Danio rerio: one gene and its partners. The protein of the gene in region 1 interacts with the protein of each later gene in a pairwise test. Links are inferred from orthologs where the notes say so. Each region holds a gene or a part of one and is shown on either strand. Other genes may lie near its edges.

Region 1 (5,335 bases):
ACTGAATACTGAATGAATTGGGTGTGCTGATTCAATAGGAGACTGACATATTGAAAGATTTCAAAATGATGTGCTTAAGAATGCTGTAGAAGTCCAAATGAATGAGTTTGCGCATTTATGGAAACTGAGTGCCTCAACGTTTGTTTTTGGTATGTTTTAGCCATTTTGAGCTTTTTTGTAGATTAAAAAAAATTGATATTAGGTTTTCCTTATTCTGACATCAAATCCTACATTCTTCATAATATGTTAAATTATATGCACTTTCTACAAGCACTTTAACTCCATTGCAGCATCTTATATGCCTGTTTTTCAAACTAAACGCAGAAATAAAAGTTATTTGTGACACTCAAGGTTCTTGATAAAGGCACTAATGCGTAAAAGCATTTTTGTTGTTGTTGTTGTTGATGTAATTGGAATCTCTTTTTGTTTTTCTCAGAGTGTGTTTGCTTGCATTAGGATAATTAAGAGTAAAACAGACGCACGTGCACAAACAGCTGTCCATATACTGACAGACATGCATATGCATGCATAAATGTTTTATTAATCAGACCTATTCTGCTCTCACTATGTAGCAGCACGAAATTGTTGCCTAGCTGCTAAAACAAAGAGTGACAGAGAGAGAGAGAGAGAGAGTGTGTGTGTGTAAACGTGTAGTACAGAGCTCATAGCATGTTTTCGCGCGCGTCTCAGAGAGGTGCGCATTAAGTTTGTGTTAGCGAGCGCGCGCTCCGTTACTCCGGCTGTCGGTAATAACCGAATGACCTTTTCCTCCTCGTGTAATGTCTCACTGGTGAGGGATTGGGTTTGAAGATAATAAAGCTAGGCTTCACTATTCCTCGTTCCTCACTCACTGATGGGCAAGTTGTTGTGAGCCTTCTCAGAATACTCAATACATGACGGCTCGCGCGAGAACACCTGTAGCTTTTGGTGCGAACAACTACTCGTAGATGATCCATGTGGACCTCATTATTTTTAACCTGAAGATCACTCTTATCCGCGGTGCAATGTCAGATTCGTGAACTTTTGCTCCGAGGAATATTGAGTTGGAGTCGGTGCTATCCTAACTTAACCTTCTGCGTAACTTGGTCAAGAAGGTGAGTGTGCGCCGCTTTAATTGTCTTTACCGAACGCATTTCTTGTATTTCTTTTGGAGTTAAATACACGTACTGCTTAATGAACAGGGGTTGCTTTTATCGTTAGTGTTTAAGCTTCAGGTTTGCATGCGTCGGATCATTTGTGCACGTGATTCAATTAATTTCAGAATAAACTAATCCTGCAAAAAGCCAGGTGTGTTGTCATGTATGCACATTGTGGAGCATGCACAAAACGATTGTTTTTACACAATCTGTCTGCATGACAGGAACTAACAACAGATATTCAGAGTAAATATGGGTTCATTATGGGCATCAGTGGTTTAATGAAAAGCGTCTAACTTACACGTAACCTTTCCATTCCACAAAAGGTTTGTTATAGTAGTAAATAAGCATTCATATTATTAAATTGTTCAATGTTTTATAAGAAAACTGAAATATTTTATAAACAAACAAAACAAATTATTCCTCTGTGACTTCAGTGACAAACCACAGAAAACGTGATATATGCTTAAAACTGTAACATGGGATTGATGCATGTAGTTTATTAACACAAAAGTTATTGAATAAGAGGAACTTGGTGCATTTCTAGAGCTTGAAAGAGATTGCGAAAGCTGTTGGGTTGCATCCGTGTTTATATCCTAAAAATGTGGCACGAATCAGAAGATATGCAGTTCATGAATGCTTGATTGCGTTTTAGTATATGCGAGTTCCTGCATGTTGTCTCTTGTATACATCCAACTTCGTGCCTTTTACTGTAGCGCACTGAAATAGGCGAATAGCGAGAGGCACGATAGGATTATAAGATTACGGCGCGCGCGAAGGGGTAAAGCATATGCCTTTGTCATCCGCTGTCATTTGTTCGCCGCCACTTGCCTCGCCACGGCTGCTGGTCGATCTAATTTCATAGTCGAGCACTGTTGTGACAAACGGAGTCTTAACAGCGTGTGGCGCTGAGCGATAGCGGCTCGCTCGCTCTTTCTTTCTCCCTCCCGTGTTTTGTTGATTGGTGTTTTCGTCGTTTTCACTCTTTTCTGCCGGAGCGAGCTGGATTGTTACTTGTAACAAAAGCGAAGCACCCTCGCGCGCATACAGCTGCTCACTTCACGCGCATCTTTGGCTCGCGCCTCGTCTTGTTGCATGGTGTTTCTGGGAGCCGAAGCGGGTCAACCAATGCAGAAAAGGGAGAAAAGTTTCGGTAAGAGCTGCGTTTTGCATCATATCAGTGTGTGTGTGATGGTTTGGTTAAACGAGTGGCTGAGTACTTGGGATGTTTCCATGCGTAGTTTTGTCGCTGTGCAGCTGCATTTGACCGAGCCGACGCATTTGTCTCATTTCCCCGGTGTGAATTTTCGTGGTTTGCTTAGACAATTGTAAATAACGGGCTGTGGTGAGTCGCCGCGTATCATCGTTTCTAACACGTTAGCGGTTTCATTTCGTCGTTTTGCAAGCTGCAAATCTTATTGGCCTTTTCCGTGCACTAGGCTGCCATGGCAACAGTAATTAAACTGATAAGAGGGTGAAATGTCAGCATCTCCGGCTCGCGCAGCTGTGATGTGAAATCAAATTGGTACTTTGCGCCCGGTGTTTGCCAAGTCTCGCCTCGAAATTTCCCCCATCAGTATCCGCGAACAGGGAAGCGCACAAAGAGCATCACTATGCGAACGGGACATGATGAAATATCTGAGTGAGCAAAGACAAAAAAGACACCAATGTCCCGGGCCTATAGGGATGAGTAGCACATAAACGATTTTAGTTGCGAATTCTTTCGTGCGTAACGATCCCGTTCCGTTAATGCTGCTTTTAGCACTCCTGATGAAGAAATGCTGAACTGAGCTTCGTATTGTATTTACTTTGCTTAGACATCTATTGCCAAACCATGAGATCCATGCAGATTTTATATAGGCTAAACCTTATATAAACTTATATAACATATAAGAAATGTATTGTAGTTCTTTCCAAAGATGCGTTTATACAGACTTTATGAGATGTCACGTTTCAGAGCTGCAGAAATGCAGTCAAATGTGACGTGTTTAACCAATATAAAGATGCTAAATAAAAATTGTGACGTAACAAAAAACTGTGACAAGGCTTAATCCATTTAGTAAAATAAAACCAAGCCTGATACTGATTATAAAAATACCCCTATAATAAAAATAAATGACATTCGGTAAGTATTACACCTCACAAGCTTTAAATGGGCTATTACACTGTTATAATTGTTTCTTAATTTCAAGTGGAACATAACGAAAGTAATAATAACAGAAGTTCAACCAACCGTCATGTTACTCCAGGAAAAGCTCCAATGATTCCCTAATTTTGAATCGCTAAAAAGAATCGGCTCACAAGAGTCATTTGTTCAAAAGTCAAACTACACTATTAGCACTGCATGTCTCGGATTCACTAAAAACAACCGACTCATAAGGGTAACTCGATTTGGATTTAGGCTGTACTGTTCAACCGGTATGTTTCATATTCACGAAAACGAAACCTGAATCTAGAATCGAACTATATGATTCCGATTCACTAATAAGAACTTGTTCAAACGAGTCATGAGTTCATGATTTGAACTAAAATGACCATGCTAAGTGCAGAAAACAGTCTCAGTGTGGTTCAGGGCAGTTTTTCTGCATCAGTGGCAAAATCATTTAGTTTTTGTGTTTATAAAATGCCTACCCTGGCCCAATCCTCGTGTTAGAATAATCTTTTGTTCACTATTTGAAATAACAAAATCGATGAGGCCATGAACATCCCACACTCCTATTAGAGAACACCGAATTGGGCATCCAAGCTCTGAATAGAAGGTCTAGTTGGTTTGTTTCACAATCGATTCATTTGGGACTAACAGTGATTGCAGACGGAGGGGAGTCGAAACTCTAACTTCTTTAGCTTGGTAATGAGAGGCGGTGACTTTGTTGTGTTAACCAGACGAGCTAGGGCTGTGCGGATGAGTGGGACTGAACAAGGACGCATAGCAGAGGAAATCAGCCGTGTGCTTCTCTTACAATCCAATCCAGCCAATTAAAAGCTCAACAGCTTAAACACAATGGGACAAACAGTGCGGCGGTGCTACCTGTCTGATGTGCCTCCTTGCTGTTTTCCCCTCATCAAGCCCTCGCCTTTGAATAAACTCAAAATAAAGCATCATAAAAACGCCAGTGAGGTCGAAGGAATCATCATTATCCCTTGCCTCGTTTTCATTGAATGTTCCTACATCTTAACGAGCATGGTCTTACAGCAGAAAGAAGTTGTTCACAGTCTAAGCCTATGGTACTGCATCAGATATTTGCTCTAGGCTATAATTATGACCCTAGAGGGATCGGCTACCTGCTGTTCCTTTCCCTGCATTGTAATGCTCAGTTGAATTGAAACAATTTCACACCTGTCCTCAGTCTTACTAATTGGTGCACTGTCTTGTTTATTTTCTGTGAGGGCCAACTGCCACGCTTTTGGCAAATCATTTTTGAAAGTAATTATCGTCAAGGCCACATGTTAAAAAAAGAGAAGCGGCAAACTCTCTCTCTGTTAGCTATGGAAGAGTCTTAATGGTCTGCAAAAGTGTTGACATGCACGACTATTTAAAGGGATAGTGCAGCCAAAAATAAATTCTAACATCATTTACTCACCATTGTGCCATTCCAGACCCTTTCTTCCGTAGAATGCGAAAGCTGATATTACGGATGTTTCACTTTCATTGCATGTTTTACTTTTTTTCATCCAAACACTGAAGCTCTTGTAATGACACGAGGGTGAGTAAATGATTTTTGTGTGTGTGCAGAATCTAACACTTTTCTTGTCAAGTAGTCCAAACAAGGCTTTTTAATCTCATATTCCTCTATGAATGTATTTCAGCGAGATTGCCTGGACAACGCATCGTGGCGACGAGCGCATTATAACTATCCCGAGGGAGGTCCTCAATTCAGACAGAGACACTCAATTTACCACAGCTGAGAAATCTCTCGGTGACCCTCTCACTCAAAGTTCACAATTTCTCACTGCTTGCGCTCTCACCCCCTCCAAGAGCAGCATATACATTAGGTGGAATCTATGGCTCTGACAGCTTCTCCTGCACAAGGTGAGAAATGGGGACTGTCGCAGAAGCAGGACAACGGGGCAAAATCAGACGTACTTGTAAAAATGTGGGACAAAAACTTTTTGGGCCGGGACAGGAGCAGTGGCGTGGGGGGAAGTGGGGTACAGCTTACTCTACTCTGTATGGAGGGAGAATACTAATTACGGGCCTT
Region 2 (4,162 bases), on another chromosome or scaffold:
TCTGAAATGACATCAGTTTGTTATGGTAGCTTGTGTCTGCCACAGGATTAAAAATAAAAATGAAATAAAAATACAAAAGGTAAATTGTTTATCTCACAATTTCTTGAGACTTTTAGAGGAAATACAAGATTAGGCTAGCAATTCTGGTTAAAATCTGAAAACCTTTCCACAAATATACATTAAACTTTTCTCTCAGAATGCTAAATTCATCACTCATAATATTAATAATTCTGCCTTTTTTAAGTATTCTGACTGTTATCTCGTAATTCTGAGTTTATATTTTGCAATTCTAAGCTTATATTTGACAATTCTATATTTATATCATAATTTTGAGCATATATCTGACAAATCTGCTAATAATTATCTCATAATTATAATTTAATATCTGGCAAACTTATTTATGTCATGATGTTGAGTTTATATCAGCGCAATTTTATATCAGCACAAAGTTATCCTGAACAATTCAGCCTTTTTTTCATGTTATTCTGAGGTTATTTCTTGAAATTCTGATCATATATTTGACAATTTGGCTTATGCCATAATTCTGTGTTATTATCTGACAATCCTGTTTAAGTTATGCAGTGCTAAGTCATTTATATATCAATATTCAAAGTTTATTTCTCACAATTCAGAGTTCAAATCCTGCAATTCTGGAATTATATCTTGCAACACAGAGTCATTATTGATACATACCCATATACACATTTATGGAGAGCGCAAATTACGTCCCAGGAGCTACGTTTTTTTGCAGTTTTCGCAAATCCGCCAGAGGCAGCTGTGTATTTTTTTTTTTAGATCTCAAATTTCTCTTACAAGTGCCATTTGCATATGCTCTTCTCACATAAATCCACCGGAGGTCGCTGTTGACTGACTGACTGAGCGACTGATAACCCCACCCACCCCATCCCTAAACCCAACCGATCTGCTTGTTAAGTCATGACGTATCTGTTACATATGGAATACTGCTTCCGGGTCCAGGCCGCTACTCATTTGAATTGAGAAAATATTCGTTTATGACCACTTTTTAGTCATATCACACATTAAAGTGAATTTTACATAACAAGACAGTGTACACATCAGTCTCTGGACTTGCTGCATCACAAATGAACATTTTTTTTAGCAATTTATAAAACATTTATCACTTTCTGGCCATTAAATATTAGGCATGGAGATATATATATATATATATATATATATATATATATATATATATATATATATATAGATCAATCGTGATTTTCGAAAGTATTACAGCGCTTTGTAAACATTTATTATTACTATTTGATCATTTTCCCCATTCTGTTAGATCCAGCACTTGGACCTGGAAGCCGCTTCGCGTGACGTCACACTTAAAGATATAGACTGGCCCATCCACCACCTCCCTAAAATCAACTGACAGTGTTCCAAAACCATTCCAGAAAAAGAAAAGCCCTCACTCCTGCTTGATTTTTACCACGTTTTCAGATATTCCCACATTCTTACCCTGTTATTTATTTGTTTATTTTGTTTATTTGCCAGTTTGTTTATTGGGCAAACTGGTAACAGCAGAAAAGTCGTCCACACGAAGGTGATGAAAAGAAACAGAAGCAGTAGGCGGCATCATACCGCCCTGTAGCATTCATTTTAAAGGTGAAATGCAGCTATACGTAGCTCTAGCTACATACTTAGTGCACTCCAGAAATGTATACGAGGGTACATTTTCACAATGAGCCTGTGTTGCAATTCTCAGATTATATCATGCAATTTTGTTCCCTATAGTTATGAATTTATATCAAACAATTCTCACTTTTTTCTTGGAACTGCTGGAATTAAGCCATAATTGTGAAATAAAACTAGCAATTACATCTGCATTTTTATTTCATTGGAAACAAGCTTACACTTTCTGTGGCTTGGCATGGCAGAGTGAATTAAAGGCACAGTCATCTCTTATCAGCGTTTCTGCTGATATTTGTTGGCGAAGCATTTGGATGAAGCTTAAAAACGACAAACACTTTCATATATTCATAGAAGACACTCAGTGACATCTGGACGACTCACTTTTAAAACGAACATGAATACCTGTTACAAAAGTGTGTCCACAGTTGTCTGGAACGCCAGCAGGGGTCCTACTGATCTCACAGCTGACCGTGAGCACTTTGCCACGTCTTGCCATACATGCTACAGTCTAGACGGACAAAATAATTAAAAATGACTCCTTTGTGGGGGTCGGAGGTTGCATTTTGTTGAAAACAATCTCGTCTCAGGCAGTGTCCATAGCAACTAGACTTTCTGTTCTCTCAAAAGCAGCACCTGCGGTACAAAAGAAAGAGTTTCGTCAGAACAAAGGCACATTTGGAGTGCGAGATGTTTAAGGTGTGCAATGCAGTACCATTTAGTGTCACAGTTTCCACTTTATCAACAGTTTGCTGACATTTCTCTAAAAGATAACAAGACAAGGATGATACAATGCAAGAAGGAACAACATTCCAATGCATTTCAACATCAGTTTGCTAAATCTTTTGGTGTTGCAAAGAATGCTGGGATATCATCAGGTTAGAGACACTCATTCATTTGATGGTGTGTTCCAAATGGGACATATCCCACCCTAAAGGACACATAGAAGTGAACATAATCCTGGCCGCCATATTGAAATGTCATTCCAAAGTGAAGTGCTCAAAACTTGCTACTTCCAAGGGGCCTTTGGAATGAAGGGTTTTAAATAATACCTGATGTGTGCCTTTGAGCAGGGCAGTTTTTTGGTGTCACACACTGTACTCAATGGGGAAGAGTTCACCCCTATCCTCTTGTCCCTTCAGAGGGACCCTCGGAAAGGATTAGGGGATGGGGATGAGCCCTTCCAAATGGAAGCCAGTTTGAAGCACTTACAGCTGAACCAATTGCTTCGAAAAATGATTCACTGTTTTAAAATGTTGAAAACACCCCATCCTGGAGACACCTACTGGTCAAAACCCTGTAAATGCAACTAAAACAGGCAAAACATGCATTAAAATGAGCTTTTCCAATCACACTGCACACGCTATTTAATGTATAACTTATAAATGCATTAGCTTATCATCTAATATCATTAAATATTAAGTATTTGCATAATATGCGTTACTTTATAAATTTTCAACAGTTATATTATTCGTTTGTCGTGGACTCTATTAATCAGGACAACAAGAGACTATTAACTAATATTATTACTTTTCATTTTACAAATGTATCACTAAAATTGCTACAAACTCGTAAAAGTGAAGTTGTTGACACCAACAACTTAGTGGTACTGTGCGCTGACATGTAGCACTGATGTGCTCACGGGGACCTGAGTTTGATTCCTGGCTCAAGGTCCTGTGCCGATCCTTCCCCTGTCTCTTCACTCCCAATGCTTTCCTGTCTAAAATCTTAACTGTCTTATCATAATAAAGGTGAAACCCCCACCCCCACCAATAAGTTGGCGGTTCATTCCGCTGTGGTGACCCCAGATTAATAAAGGGACTAAGCCAAAAGTAAACGAATGAATGAATGTTCAGTGATTCACCACTGGGGGGGCGATCTGAACAAACTCATATTAGTATTACTTGTCCCCCAAAGAAAAACCATAACATTTTCTGATTGTTTCAAAACAGTTATGATGTAACAAAGCCCTGTTTCTTCAAATCATGTAACTTTGCCAGTTTGATACAAACTGATTCGAAACAAAAATTCAGGTTTTAAAGCTTCGAAAGCAGCCATCACTAATGTTTGTGTCAGTGTGTCTGAGTACCTGTTTTGAGCTGGATATCACTACTGTCTGAGGTGGTCTCTGCTGCAAAACATTTCAGATAAATTAAGTAAATTAAGAATTTGATGAAAAAATTAATAGTATTAAAATTATTTTTATTATTTTTTCAACTATAATTCTAGAAGAAACAGAAAAGTTACAAAATTTTCAGCGATTTTGTTTGTTTTACGCCATATACATTTTCTCACCTCTTTTTAAGCGTCGACGGGCAAGTTTAATCTGATCTTGCAGAATCTGGACCCAATCTCTTGGGCCAGGAAGCTTTTCAATTCCATTGGCAGTGCAATACTTTTCTGTGAAAACTAAACACACACACACACACGCACGCAAGCACGCACGCACGCACGCACGCACACACACACACACACACACACAGACAAATGAGTTTTTTTCATTTACTGA
Region 3 (4,567 bases), on another chromosome or scaffold:
ACACACACACACACACACACACACACCTCTGTCCTTCTGCCTGATGATGGAGAAACAATTGACCTCAGGAAATAATTACAATTAAATAATTCTTCAAAATCATTCATTTAGTGTAGATTGCGTTTTACTCTGGTGTTGGTCTTTATGGGTTTTGGTGTTGTTTGTGGTTCATAGTTTTTCCTTTTTTTATATATATTTTGTTTTTGTGCTCTGCTTTGTTTTGTGTGTGTGTGTGTGTGTGTGTGTTTTGCTTTTGTTTATAAAAGATTTAATAATAATAATAATAATAATAATAATAATAATAATAATAATAATAATAATAATAATAATAATAATAATAATAATTAATATTATTATTATATTTATTATTATTATTATTATATTTATTATTATTATTATTATTATAATTATTATATTTATTATTATTATTATTATATTTATTATTATTATTATTATTATTATTATTATTATTATTATTATATTTATTATTATTATTATTATTATTATTATTATTATATTTATTATTATTGCTATTATTATTATTATTATTATTATATTTATTATTATTATTATATATTATTATTATTATTATTATTATTATTATTATTAATGCCTTTATTTTGCCATGGACAAAAGCACAATAAGATTAAAAATATTTTACCAGAGTGTCCTGACCAAGATTAAACCATATACAGTTTGCATGGTTTTAACAAAAATAACAGAATAACATCAATTAAAACACGTATACCTTGCCGTTTATAGCTGAGTTGGTTATGAATTTAAACGGCTTTTTATTTTATTTTATTTTTATTACTGTCTTTTCTCGTTTTAAAATGGTCAAACTCATTCTTGAGCTGCAGCTGATCATAGAGGGTTGGAACAGATCTTTTCATCCCAGTTTCTTAGCAAATCCTGTTTATTTAAGCGTAAAAGTTGATTTTGCATCGTCCTTCAATGCAAAACCAAACCTAAATATCTGTATACAGGGCTTTACATTAACTTTTTGGATCACCAGCCACTGTGGCTAGTAGATTTCCAACATTACTAGCCTCTTGCTATTTTCACTAGCCAAACTATTGTTGTTGGGAAAACATGTTTTATATGCATACATTTGACTTTTGCATCCTAAAATGACTTGATTTAGATTTTGTGTTATGTCCACATGCCTCCTCATTCATTTCACCTTGTGTGTGTGTTGTGTATGAGCTTGCTCAATGAGCATGAGCAAATGGGTTGTCGCAATTAGTTTTTATTTTACATGACTCCTCAGGGATCAAAATTAAGGATTTACCAATTTTATCTCTGACCACACCAAAAAATTAAAATGTGTCAAAGCAAGCAAAATACAGCTGTATACATGTGCTTTTTAATTCAATAAAACTTTTCTTAAAAAAAAAAAATTACACTACCTTTTAAGAGAGGGCAGGACCTGGGCATACTTCCATGTAGAGATAATATTTTTTGCCAATTTCAATGACATGAGTAAAAAATTGAATTTTTAAAAAAAATCAGACTTTTTTCAATACCTCCAGGTTCATCACTTTCTTCAGACCCAGTGCTCTGTATTCCCTCAAATGCCTGCTGAATCTGGACTGGACTTAATTTTAAAGACCCTTGTACACCACAAAGGCCTTGCAAAATGTACTACTTGATTATGACATTCCGTTACGTAACACTAGAGAATATTAAAATGGAATGGATAGAACAACTAGGAATTAATGTTTCAGATAAAGCAGTTGATATTATAAACTAGACTTCATCATGTGCGCGTCTTAATCTGATTCAGATTAAATTTTTGTTCCGTATTCACTACAGCAAAACCAAACTGGCTAAAATCTTTATAGTATTTGTTAATTGTAGTCTTTTATAGTTTGTCTATGTTGTACTTCAGAATAAGAGTGTTTTCCTTCTGTGTTTTCAGGCCTCTGCATGTGCTGGTGTGTAACGCTGCCGTCTGCTCACAGCCCTGGCGTCTGACGGAGGACGGGTTCGAATCCACCTTTCAGATCTGCCACCTGGGCCACTTCCTCCTGGTGCAGCTCCTGCAGGACGTCCTGCGGCTCTCGGCTCCGGCACGGGTCGTGGTGGTTTCCTCCGAGTCCCACAGGTCAGCATTTCACATCATTCCTGCAGACGTATGCAGATATTCAGTAATTCTATACACTGTATTTTAATGATGAACATGCACAGGATTGATATTGAGGACACTGCAAAAAATACAGGGGTTGGACAATGAAACTGAAGCACCTGGTTTTAGAGCACAGGAATTCATTGGTGTAGCTCCTCAATACACCATCAAGTGGCAGGTTCAAGTCCTGCACAGCGGCTAGAAGGATTTTGAGCCGTTCTTCTTCAGAATAGTGTTCAGGACACTACTGATGCTGCTGGAGGAAAAACTTTCCTGACTCGCTCCTCCAAAACAGCCCGAAGTGCTCAATAATGTTTAGATCTGGGTACTGTGCAGGCCATAGGAGATGTTTAACTTTTATCTTTATCAGACCACTCTATCTATCTCTATCTACTGTCTCCAGTCCTTCTGTGTGTATTGCTGCATTATCGTCCTGATACACACCACTGCCCTCGGGATACAATGTTTGATCCATTGGGTCACATGGTCCTCCAGAATGATTGGGTAGTCTTTTTTCATGTAATATTATGACTTTATTACTGTAATATTACGACTTTTTTTCATTTAATATTATGACTATTACTGTAGTACGACTTTTTTCATGTAATATTACGACTTTATTACTGTAATATTACGACTTTTTTCATGTAATATTACAACTTTATTGCTGTAATATTACGACTTTTTTCATGTAATATTACAACTTTATTGCTGTAATATTACGACTTTTTTCATGTAATATTACAACTTTATTGCTGTAATATTACGACTTTTTTCATGTAATATTACAACTTTATTGCTGTAATATTACGACTTTTTTCATGTAATATTACAACTTTATTACTGTAATATTACGACTTTTTTCATGTAATATTACAACTTTATTGCTGTAATATTACGACTTTTTTCATGTAATATTACAACTTTATTGCTGTAATATTACGACTTTTTTCATGTAATATTACAACTTTATTACTGTAATATTACGACTTTTTCATATAATATTACGACTTTATTGCTGTAATATTACGACTCTTTTCATGTAATATTACGACTTTATTATTGTCACATTACGACTTTACTCTTGTATCACAACGGCTTTGTTCTCGTAATGTTATTACTTTAATCTTGTATCACTAAGAACTTATTTTTGTAATATTTTGACTTTATTCTCATAATATTGCGACTTTGTTCTCGTAATGTTAGGACTTTAATCTCATATTAATAACACTTTATTTTTGTTATTTTGAGTTTTTACAATTAAATATTACAACTTTATTACTGTAATTTTACGACTTTTTTCATGTAATATTACGACTTTATTACTGTAATAATACGACTTTATTGTCACATTATGACTTTACTCTTGTATCACAACGGCTTTGTTCTCGTAATATTATGACTTTAATCTCATATTAATAAGACTTTATTTTTATAATTGTACAACTTTATACATGTAATATTACAACTTTGTTCTCATATCACTACAACTATATTCTTATAATATTACTACCTTATTATCATAATATTACGACTTCATCCTCATATCACTACGACTTTGTTCTTGTAATATTATGTCTTTGTTCTCGTATCACTAAGATCTTATTTTTTTAATAGGATGACTTTATTCATCTATTATTGCAACTTTATTTTTGTAACATTACGACTTTACTCTTGTATAACGACTTTGTTCTCGTAATATTATGACTATATTCTTGTATCACTACTACTTTATTCTCATAAAATTGTGACTTTATTATCATAATATTACAACCTTTATTTTCCAGACATGTGTTGCAGCTGGAAGGGAATCCGCTGCGTAAAACGTGCTGGATAAGTTGGTGGTTCATTCCTCTGTGGCGACCCCAGAAAAATAAAAAGACTAAGCTGAAAAGAAAAAGAATGAATATTACGACTTTATTCTCATGTCACTTCAGCTTTGTTTTCGTAATATTATAACTTTATTCCCATATCACTAAGACCTGATTTTTTGTAATATTATGACTTTATTGATGTGTAATTGCGACTTTATTCTTGTGATATTATGACTTTATTATCATAATATTACAACTTTACTTTTATATCACTACGACTTAATACATGTAATTTTACGACTCAATTCTTGTATCAGTATAACTTTATTAAAGTAATAGTACGACATTGTTCTCGTATCCACACGTCTTTATTCTGCTAAAATGTAGTCTGTATTCAGAAAAAAATACGACTTTATTCTCATATCACTACAACTTTGTTCTCGTAATATTTTAACTTTATTCTCGTATCACTAAGACCTTTTTTTCAATAGCATGACTTTATGTATTATTGCAACATTATTATTGTAATATTACGACTTTATTCTTTCGCTACAACTTCATTCACATAATTTTATGACTTTATAATTGTAATGTTATGACTTTATTCACATGTAATTGTAATATT
Region 4 (5,221 bases), on another chromosome or scaffold:
ACAGCAATGCTTATTAATTAGAAAATGCAAGTATTGTTTTCTAAACAAGTAAATTTACTCCACAGCCATATTGAGCTTAAATAAATAAAAAGCCTCAAAGGCAAGTAAAAATCTAAAAGATAAGAAAATAATCATTTATGCTACACCTTGCAAGTATTTTTTTTTTATTAACCAGCTCTTTGGTTGTTTCACATTTAGTAGGCAGTCTTAAACCACCTGATTTAAAGGGCAAATGCATTATCCAAATGCAGGTTGCAGATAACAAACAGATATTTAAAGAGTTAAAAGTAAATATAGACCTGTCTGTGATCCAAGTGCAGTGAAATCTAATTTTACTGAAGCTTGCATCAGAAACAACAATCATTTACTGCGGGGCAGCATATTCATTTACAGTAACAATAGCAAGGCTCAGACATTTACCTTTATACATTTTACCGTTTCATCACAATTCATTTGGACAGACAGACAGACAGACAGACAGACAGATAGATAGATAGATAGAGTTAGATATTTATTTTTAGGTTTACTGCTGTTCACTTTAAGGTTAACTAACGCTAATATTTACTGGAAAGTATGAAGAAGGCAAATGAGTTGTATATAATCTAATTTCTACAATACAACTATTTCTTTTACCTGAATATCCTAGTCAAAATTTGGCATAAAGACCTATGACGACATCTTAGTGGGATTTTAAACGCGACGACAAACGAAATGCGCATGCGCTTAAATATAATTCGGATTATATGTAATAAATATGCCAATTATACAACAGTATTTTAATTACATCAACGGAGATATGCATTTAACTTATATATATAACAATACACAGTCATATATAGACTTGACTGGAGACGACAACGACCACAAGTAAAACTATATAACGTTACTCGTTCAAACACTTATTTAACATTATGCAATATACATCAACAAGAATTCAAGTTTATTACCTTCCAAAAGGCGCTGGATGATCGAATCGATGTTTATTTTGTCCGATTCGGCCATTTTGTCGCGCGCTGGAGATTAGCCGGCTAACAGTGCCAGTAACGAGACCGCTGGGGAACCCGCCCAATACAAATTCACGACAATACTTTATAAAAACGTCGTTACAAAAGAGTCATACTACTGTTGGTATTCCTGAGTGTACTTTACAATGTTATTGCCGCGAATGGTCCCTCCGGTAGTTCGTTGTGTGAGGTAAACTAGCACCACGACCGTTTACGGTTGAAGGAAACGGTAAAGGGGTGGGGGTAGACATTAAGCGCGTGTCTGATTGGTTATTCTCGTCTCATGACGAGCCTTCAAACATGAGATCTGAAGAGCCAATAGGATATTTAATGTGTCAATCTTTTTCTATATAATTCGTCGAACTAAACACGGTGTATAATCTCAGATTCACAGGATAATCTTTTTGAAACTGTAATCCTCGTCATGATGGACATGCTAAATCTTCTTAGGCTGGATAGTTAACATACTTCATTAGCAACGATTGAAATCAATTCAGAAAATGTCGCGTTTAAACAATATTCGAAATATAAAGGAATACGTTCTTTCAACCCACGGAAGTAACCATAGATAGAAATGACGTGGTGACGCAATCTATCGGCCAAATGACGTGATCAGAGAGCGACATTGCGAATCGTCTGATTCATTCTAAAGTAGCAGAATGTGCTATTGCTGAGGCGGAAACGTTACCAAAACAGACTATTAAATAGAGTAGATTACTCATTATCAAAGATGTATTTTGTTTTTGAATAGTTAACCTCATTGACCATGAAGTTGGTTCATAAAGACATCGAGAAGGATAATGCCGGGTGAGTGTTTGTGAACACGAGTCTACATGTACACCACTTTTGGGCATTATATTTACCAGTTGAGTGGGGTTGTAGTGCCATGATGCGATGTTGGTATTATATGACAATACAATAGAATAATCGGATACTTTTGTATAAATGAAACATGGTGGCGTAATAACGGATCTTTTCTGTTTGTAGAACCGACACCATTATAACCCAAAATGCTGGCTGTATTGCTTACCCAGTGTTGTGTTTTCAAACTTGGCAGGATTGTTTCACATTGCCACAGCCCCAAAATTGCGTTTGCCTTGCTCGTAGCGCCCCCCTTTGACCACCTGCGCTTTTATAGCCCGGTGTTTTCAAACTGGGGTCTTTACGAGGACAAAGAAGGGTGTGTAATTTTGTTTGGAAAATGGAAAAGATAAGATAATTTAGTTAATGAAATAATATGCTTAAAGTAAATGACAATTTTAAGATAATCACACGGACTAGTGTAATATAAATAATTGATATATAACAGGCCCGTAGCCAGTCTGGTAAAGGGGTCTTTTTTCATTTTTTTGCAGTTATGCTTCTCGTTTTCTGTTTAATTATAATATTTAAATACGGCATTTTAACATTTAAGCATTATTTTTTAGGATGGTTACCACACTTTTTGATATACCAAAAATATTTGCTAAAGATTTGGAATAAAGAAATGTAAAATAATATATTTTTTAAAATATTTGTATTTACATATTTATCACATCGTATATTACTAGAAAAAAATAGGAATCTGTTTAAGTTTTTAATTTAAAAGCTGTAGTCTATTGTCATTTATTAGGCACATAACAAACTGCTCAGCACATTAAACAGTCCTTAGTTAGAATTTGGCCATTAGAATAATAATAAAAAAATGAATTAAAACATAATAATAATTATATTATAGATTTTAACCTAGAGCTTCACAAGTTGTCTTGCCTCTCTTGTAAAAAAAAAGTACATTTGAAAATTCATGGATGACAACAATAGCCAAAATAGTATTCAAATCAATTGTAATATGGTCCACTTTTGGAGCTTTACATACTTTTATTGCTTTTTTTTTTCAAGAATAAGCTCCAAGGTTTAGAATAAACGTTACCTGTAAAATGCTTTCTTTATTTTAAAAACAATGAAGTAGCAAATGATGACTTCTCTTAAAGCAGATTGTTCAGGCTGTCCACGGGGTCTTAAAAGTATTAGAAGTTGATAAATCAATTTACAGAAAATTTAGGCCCTTAAAAAGTAATAAAGTCTTAAATGCTATTTTGCAAGGTATTAAATTTTATATCATTTTTGATTAAGCAATATATGATTGTATGATAAAGTGTGCCTGAATTAAATCTGCGAATACCAGGATTCTGTGTAGTTTGTGAAATCGATAAAATTCTGCTAGATTTTACATCATGCTGCTTTGTTTACTGCAGTAACCAAGGCAACACTATTATTTTTGTTGTTCTATAGGCTGCTGAATTAGCTAGATTTAATAGATTTTTATTGAGTATATAAGTAATGTTTTAGTTTTGGATTGGTTTCTTGCATTAATATTTAGTAAATATATTGTCATTTAAAATATCGGCAGTGTAAAATATCGACGTTGTCCTGTGGGTGCCATCGCATCATCCAAGTGGATGTTACAAACTGGTGGTGGTGTGGAGAGACACCCTCATGATTGTGAAGCACTTAGAGTGTATATAAATACACATTATATTATATTATATTATATTATATTATATTATATTATATTATATTATATTATATTATATTATATTATATTATATTATATTATATTCATGTATGGGGTAAATTCGGGGCCTTCGTTAGTAAGGGGGGTGTCTTCCGAGCCAACCTAATCCTAACCATTTTGAGGGATGTAAACATAATTTCTACAGCTTCCGAGGACCCATACATATTGATAAATATTGTTTTGATGGGTATTTTAACATTAGGTTATGATTGAATTGTCTCTTGTTACAGTTATGAAATTGCACGTTTTTGCGCAGCGCATGCCCTTCCAGCCCCAACCCATCTCTGGGAAACATCCACTCACACACTTCTACACTACGGACAATTTAGCCTACCCAATTCACCTGTACCGCATGTCTTTGGACTGTGGGGAAAACTGGAGCATCCGGAGGAAACCCACGCGAACACAGGGCGAACATGCAAACTCCACACATCCAAAGATGCTTTATAAATTGTCAATAAATCAGTGTTTTTGAAACTAATGAAGACAGCAGAAGTCCACGATTCACTTGAATTATTCAGCCTAATATGTTTACTTTCCTAAAATATTTGAAAAGTTTCTCAAAATAAATACATTGTTTAAAGGGGGAAAATGTTTGTTTTTTTACTCAGACATTTGAAAAGAATATGTTTTAGAGCATGTTTTATGCCTAGTCTCAGATAGATAGAGTTTTTCTTAAGTTTGTTTTTCTTTTAAACCAGGGGTCTCAAACTCAATTTACCTGGGGGCCGCAGGAGGCAAAGTCTGGGTGAGGCTGGGCCGCATAAGGGATTTCACAAAAAAAAAGTCCTCAAATGTCATTATTAACAGTTTTAATTATTTCTTCTGAACATGAAGTGTCCTGAACATTAATAGAACATTGAGTGAAGATTATGAACAGTTCTTCTGAACATGGCATCTTTTGCCTATTTCTTGCTGCCAGAGACTTGACAGCGCTTCTTCTCACAAATCTGAACCACATTTGGCTTTAGAGCGGAAGCAGTTGAGACCCTCAGTATGGCTTGAAGATGATCATCATTAAGTCTAGACCTGTACTTTGACTTATTGAAGTCCTAGGGAAAAAAGTGGGGGAACTCACTCAAAACTTCCATTCCCTCACCTAAAAAAAAGGCGTATATATGTATAAATAAAACACCCCCACCCCACTCCAGTCACATCAGTCTGTACCAGTCTGTATCTACCTATAATATCAATATATATAAGATGCAGGGCAGGCACGTGCACACATAGGGCTCAACCTGTGCAGAGCACATGCCCTTTTTAGTCTTGCATAGAAAGTGCCCATCCAAAATGATCAAAAGTGCCTCTGCGACGCGACACACATAGTCCCGCCCTTCAGTAGGGGCGCGATAACACCGCTCTTGAGTACGCGCGCGACAACACAGCTGATCAGAACGCGCGCGACAACGCGCATTGAGTGACAAGCGCGCTGTGTACGGATAGAATCAGCGGAGCGGGGAGCGCTCTCTCTCCCCGCTCCGCTGATTCTGTCAGAGTACAGCGGTCGGCGCGGGACACAAAATATTGCACTGAGGGCCGCAAATGGCCCGCGGGCCGCGAGTTTGAGACTCCTGTTTTAAACGATATTGGCGAAAATGGGCTAATGATAACTGTTTGTTTCAGAGTTTGTTTCTTTTATTAAACTACAATAGTCTGTTAAATT
Region 5 (4,567 bases), on another chromosome or scaffold:
TCATTTGAAACGAGCCACTAAAGCAGACCCCCTAAAATATGGCACCAATTTAGACAAGCTTTATCATTTACAGATCTCTCAATCCAGACCCCTATTATGAGAAATCATGTTTACTCCTTTGATTGCAGATGCTACATTTAATTGCTGGATAGAAAAAGGACTCATCACACTGAACGATTTATGTAGCGATACCAATTTCATGTCCTTCGACCAAATAAGAACAAAATACAATATCCTCAAAACACATTTCTTTAGATATTTACCGATCCGCAGTTTTATGATTTCTAATACAGTAGACTTTCCAACTTTACCTAGAGAAACATTACTTGACACCATTTTAAAAACCAACCCAGTTCTCAAAGGTATTATAGGTGTGATTTACTCTTTTATCTCCTCACAAAATCTAACTTCAGTACAAAGTCGAAACAATTAAAAAATGAACTTGAGTTGATTCCCTCAAAGGAAATTTGGCAAGACATTATATTTTATTATTATATTTATTGTATTTTAGGTGTATTACGGTAGGGGAAATCGTGAGTGAGGAAGCTGATCTCAGAAGCTCCAGGGAGTGAAATCTAAGAGAAATTAAGATTGTGAATAAAAATAAGAGTTATAAAACCTTCCTTTGGCTTAATTTCCACTGTTTTAGGTCTGTTTTAGATCTTGACTGAAAGAAGCTTTATTTTTATGATTTGTGTCATTGTGTCAGATTGCGCACCCAACATAGTAGGCTACCTAATATGGTGTGTATTTGGTATAGTATGTATATTTATTTATATATATATATATATATATTTATCGCAAAATTGTCCGCAAATTTCTATGAATTACCACCACACAATTACTAATTTTTGTCACTAAAAATAGAGAGACTAAGCACAACCCTGTTAGACCAGGGGCACAAAGCATATTTTTCCATCCTTAAAATAGCAAAAGTGGACTTAGACATGCCCTTGATGTTTTTGCACCATGACCTTTAGACTTTGCGCCTAGATCATTAAAATAGAGCCCATGGTGTTATTGAGGAGGGATATGAGAAAGGTTATGGAAAGGTTTGGTGGTCTTAGTGGGTTTAAGGGTGGGCTTAGGTGTAAGAGATGATCAACAGTATAAGTATAAATATATTTACAGAAATGATCATCATTTTTAAAATATAACTACACTGTAAAAACATCCATGTAGATAATAATTACACTGACCCAAAATGATTAACTGAAATGTAAGTACAAAGTAATTAAGGCCATACGATATAAAGCGGAACCAACATTTCAATAGGAATTGTTCTAGCTCAAATGCACTTAGTTATCACAAAGGTCATTTTAAGTCTTAAACATCCAATATTTGTAAATCTTACCCTCTGAGTTAAGAGTGATGAGCGTTACATTGTTGTTATTCTGAGGCTGGCCGCTGTTGGACACCGAATCGCTCGTTTCCGAACCACTTTCCTGATCATCCTGAATCTCCTCCTGAACTGGAACCTTCAGTACTATGGTTTTCTGTCTCCCTCGCCCTACAGTACTGCAACACAAAAATACAAAGAAGACTTACAGCGCTTTCAGATTAGCACTTTTGGTCCTCACTCGAATTCGTTTGACTTCAGAGTACGGTACGTTTAGAGGTTGTCGTTGGTACGGTTCGTGCAAACTCTGGTATGGTTCACTTCTGATTTGAATGCATTCGTACCAAATAACTGAAGTGAACCGCCAACTGTAAAACAAACTTTAGCACCCTTACACTGACAATTTTATGTGAAGAATGTGTATTATTTTACACTACTTTTTATTAACCAACATTTGCAAACAATAATACATTTCCTAATAAAAAATTTTGTTTATTTTTTTTGTTCATTCTCGTAAAAACATTAACTAAAATGAACCAATGGAACCTTGTTGTAAAGAGTTGCCAAAATATGAATGTGTAGTACTCACTTGCTGAGCAGATTTTCTAAAGAGTCTGATGTGCGTGGCGAAGTCTCCTCCGTCTTCGCCCTGTCTCCACTTACTATGACATTTGTCTGGGGAACAACACTAGGAAAAAAAAACTCACTGTTAGTGTCAAAATAAATAGTTGGCATGTCTTTGTGGAGTTTGCATGTTCTCGTGGGTTTCTCCATAGTCCAAAGACATGCGGTATAGGTGAATCAAATAAGCTAAATTGGCCGTAGTGTATGTGTGTGAATGCGAGAGTATATGAGTGTTTCCCAGTGATATGTTGCGGCTGGAAGGGCAACTGCTGTGTAAAACATATTCTGGATAAGTTGGTGGTTCATTCCACTGTGGCGACCCCTGAATAATAAAGGGACTAAGCCAAAAAGAAAATGAATGAATTAATGAATGAATGGGCAAAAACATTTTAAAAGTGTTGCAACCTTTTTTAAAAAAAGCCTGTTTTAATACTAATACTAATAATAATACAAAAATGAACAAATGCTTAATATGCAATGAAAACAAACTGGGACTTGTATTATGATCAGGGTCTCTGCAGATATCATAATGTCAAATTTAAGACCTTTTAAGACCTTTTTAAGACCATTAAGTATTAAATTTAACACCTATATCACAATATCAGAACACGCGAGAGAAAATGTAAAAGCACAAAATTAGGGCTAAAATAAAGTTATTTAAATTGAACAGTAGTAAGGTCAGGTTAAATGCACCATTGAACTACAGAAAAAACACATCTTAATGCAGATTTATACTTTCACCTGGCACCGCATCGCACAACTCACGAAACGGATTAAGGCTTTTGTACTTGACACGTTCACCATTGAGATATGTTTTTTTAAATGACAGGGGGCGGTCCAAAAGAACAGAAAGTAAAATCAGACGAATAAAAAGATAATCATTATCATTGAAGATGTTTTTGGGGGCCTCTTTTTTGTTTTAACAAACTTATCCCTCGGAGTTTTTCCAAAGTTTTACAAAAACTTTCCTCCTTTCCCATGGCTGTTGCAATTTCTAGCCAATAATTATTGGTCATTCTGGCAAGCAGAAATGTAACTGTGATAGAAAATAGGTAAAAACTTGATTAGGTATTATAGCTTACTGTACTATTCACTCTTTAAATAAATCCCACTATAAATCCTATTTTATCACTAAAATAAAGTGAACTAGTGTCTGCTGTACAGTGTTTTGTGAAGTACAGTAAAGTACTTCAATTACTCTGTTGTGGTAATACTATAGTTGCTATGGTAACACAACAAGTGTATTAAAAACAAACTACCCAGTGCTTTATTTATTTTTTTTTACAATATAAGGTATATTTTTCTAAAATTCACCACACTTTACAGTAGTAAAACTACACTGTATTTCATTTTATCAGTTCACTATTCTTAATACTACAGTATGCTGAAGCATCTCTGGAAAAGCACGAAAGGAGTCCGGCGGAGCGAGAGCAGATAATTTGCATGTGAGCAGCCAGTGTTTTGAGAGCTCGCAAGCAGTTTTGTCCATGAACAAAGGAAACCTGCGCGTGAGCAGAGATTCGCTCTCTCGTATTACAGCACTCCTGACTTATAAAACTGCGCTTGCGACATTTGTCAGTGAAATAACGGCATACTCTGCCAGCCAAAATCATGTCGCACGCACTCAAAGCGAACTTCCGCAAACACAGCGATGATGTCACATCCGCCGCGCGCACTGAGTTTAATATCAGAAAGCTGATTGGCTATCGCAAGTTGACTTTTTTTGTGGTTGTAATAAAGCAAATTACAATTGGACTAGTAAAATAAAGAACTACAAAACCCCAAAAACCTAGCAACAACAACAAAAAGAATTTAAATAAGCATTAGATGTAGCGTTACATGGACATCGCAAAAATAAGACCTGTGCAAAAATATTTAATACCTAGAACAGCGAATTTAAGACTTTTTAAAGCCATACATATCGATTTTTTAATTTAAGACTTTTAAGACCCCGCGGGGACCCTGTTGTCATTTATAACATATGTTGTACGCCGTAAAAACGGGCAGAAATAAAGAAAAAAATAAACAGAACCAACCATTTAATGAATGGTGCTGGTGTATAAATCACATGACCTATGGTCCACTTACCAGCGTACTTTGTCACAAGTCTGAGTGGCTCCGAATGGGGACCCGGACACCATGGGTACTTGAATCGTTGACTGGTTCTTGCCCATCACTGTGTCCAGTTTCTCCACTAAACCTCGACAGGTCACCTCAAGAACCTGCAGCTTTGCTTCCATACTGTCCAGCCGCTGGCAGATCGCCTGACTGATGGATATCAACATCGACTGGAGAAACAGAAATACAGAAATTGGTAAAATATCTAATTATATTTAATACCAGATGAAAATGTCATTTATTGATAGATGAGACCCACATAACCATCAAGATTTTTGCACACTGTTGAAGTGTGTGAAAAACTTACACCTGAGCAATTCATGTGACTTCATTCTCCATACAAGAGGCGTCTTTAAGCTGCCATCATTAAAAAAAGCCTTTTATATAAAGTATTTAACACGTTTTAGGCAAGGCAAGTTTATTTATATAGCACATTTCATACACAGTGGCAATTCAAAGTACTTTACATAAACAGGAATAAAAAAC

Evidence for each region.
Region 2: the proteins of lmo3 (region 1) and bend7 interact in binary tests that used the Homo sapiens proteins (3 or more experiments, as listed by UniProt). The two-hybrid records come from large-scale screens. The link is inferred for Danio rerio from reciprocal best matches to the Homo sapiens genes LMO3 and BEND7.
Region 3: the proteins of lmo3 (region 1) and wwox interact in binary tests that used the Homo sapiens proteins (3 or more experiments, as listed by UniProt). The link is inferred for Danio rerio from reciprocal best matches to the Homo sapiens genes LMO3 and WWOX.
Region 4: the proteins of lmo3 (region 1) and pelo interact in binary tests that used the Homo sapiens proteins (3 or more experiments, as listed by UniProt). The link is inferred for Danio rerio from reciprocal best matches to the Homo sapiens genes LMO3 and PELO.
Region 5: the proteins of lmo3 (region 1) and banp interact in binary tests that used the Homo sapiens proteins (3 or more experiments, as listed by UniProt). The link is inferred for Danio rerio from reciprocal best matches to the Homo sapiens genes LMO3 and BANP.

What each region holds. Positions count from the first base shown.
Region 1 is NC_133179.1:13,188,907-13,194,241, forward strand, and holds the start of lmo3 (LIM domain only protein 3), read left to right. Parts: upstream 1-2,026; 5' UTR 2,027-2,231; coding exon 2,232-2,289; exon of another isoform or gene 2,290-4,840; intron 4,841-4,943; exon of another isoform or gene 4,944-5,138; coding exon of another isoform or gene 5,139-5,166; intron 5,167-5,335.
Region 2 is NC_133193.1:9,562,339-9,566,500, forward strand, and holds the end of bend7 (BEN domain-containing protein 7), read right to left. Parts: intron 4,063-4,162; coding exon 3,949-4,062; intron 3,785-3,948; coding exon 3,743-3,784; intron 2,417-3,742; coding exon 2,369-2,416; intron 2,290-2,368; coding exon 2,240-2,289; 3' UTR 1,244-2,239; downstream 1-1,243.
Region 3 is NC_133200.1:39,687,666-39,692,232, reverse strand, and holds part of wwox (WW domain-containing oxidoreductase), read left to right. Parts: intron 1-1,921; coding exon 1,922-2,107; intron 2,108-4,567. UniProt on the Homo sapiens protein: Putative oxidoreductase. Acts as a tumor suppressor and plays a role in apoptosis. Required for normal bone development. May function synergistically with p53/TP53 to control genotoxic stress-induced cell death.
Region 4 is NC_133187.1:13,774,517-13,779,737, reverse strand, and holds the start of pelo (protein pelota homolog), read left to right. Parts: upstream 1-1,662; 5' UTR 1,663-1,770; coding exon 1,771-1,811; intron 1,812-5,221. Other genes in the region: ppp1cab (protein phosphatase 1, catalytic subunit, alpha isozyme b), read right to left, coding at 948-1,002. UniProt on the Homo sapiens protein: Component of the Pelota-HBS1L complex, a complex that recognizes stalled ribosomes and triggers the No-Go Decay (NGD) pathway.
Region 5 is NC_133200.1:32,863,710-32,868,276, reverse strand, and holds part of banp (protein BANP), read right to left. Parts: intron 4,252-4,567; coding exon 4,052-4,251; intron 2,028-4,051; coding exon 1,929-2,027; intron 1,519-1,928; coding exon 1,355-1,518; intron 1-1,354. UniProt on the Homo sapiens protein: Controls V(D)J recombination during T-cell development by repressing T-cell receptor (TCR) beta enhancer function. Binds to scaffold/matrix attachment region beta (S/MARbeta), an ATC-rich DNA sequence located upstream of the TCR beta enhancer.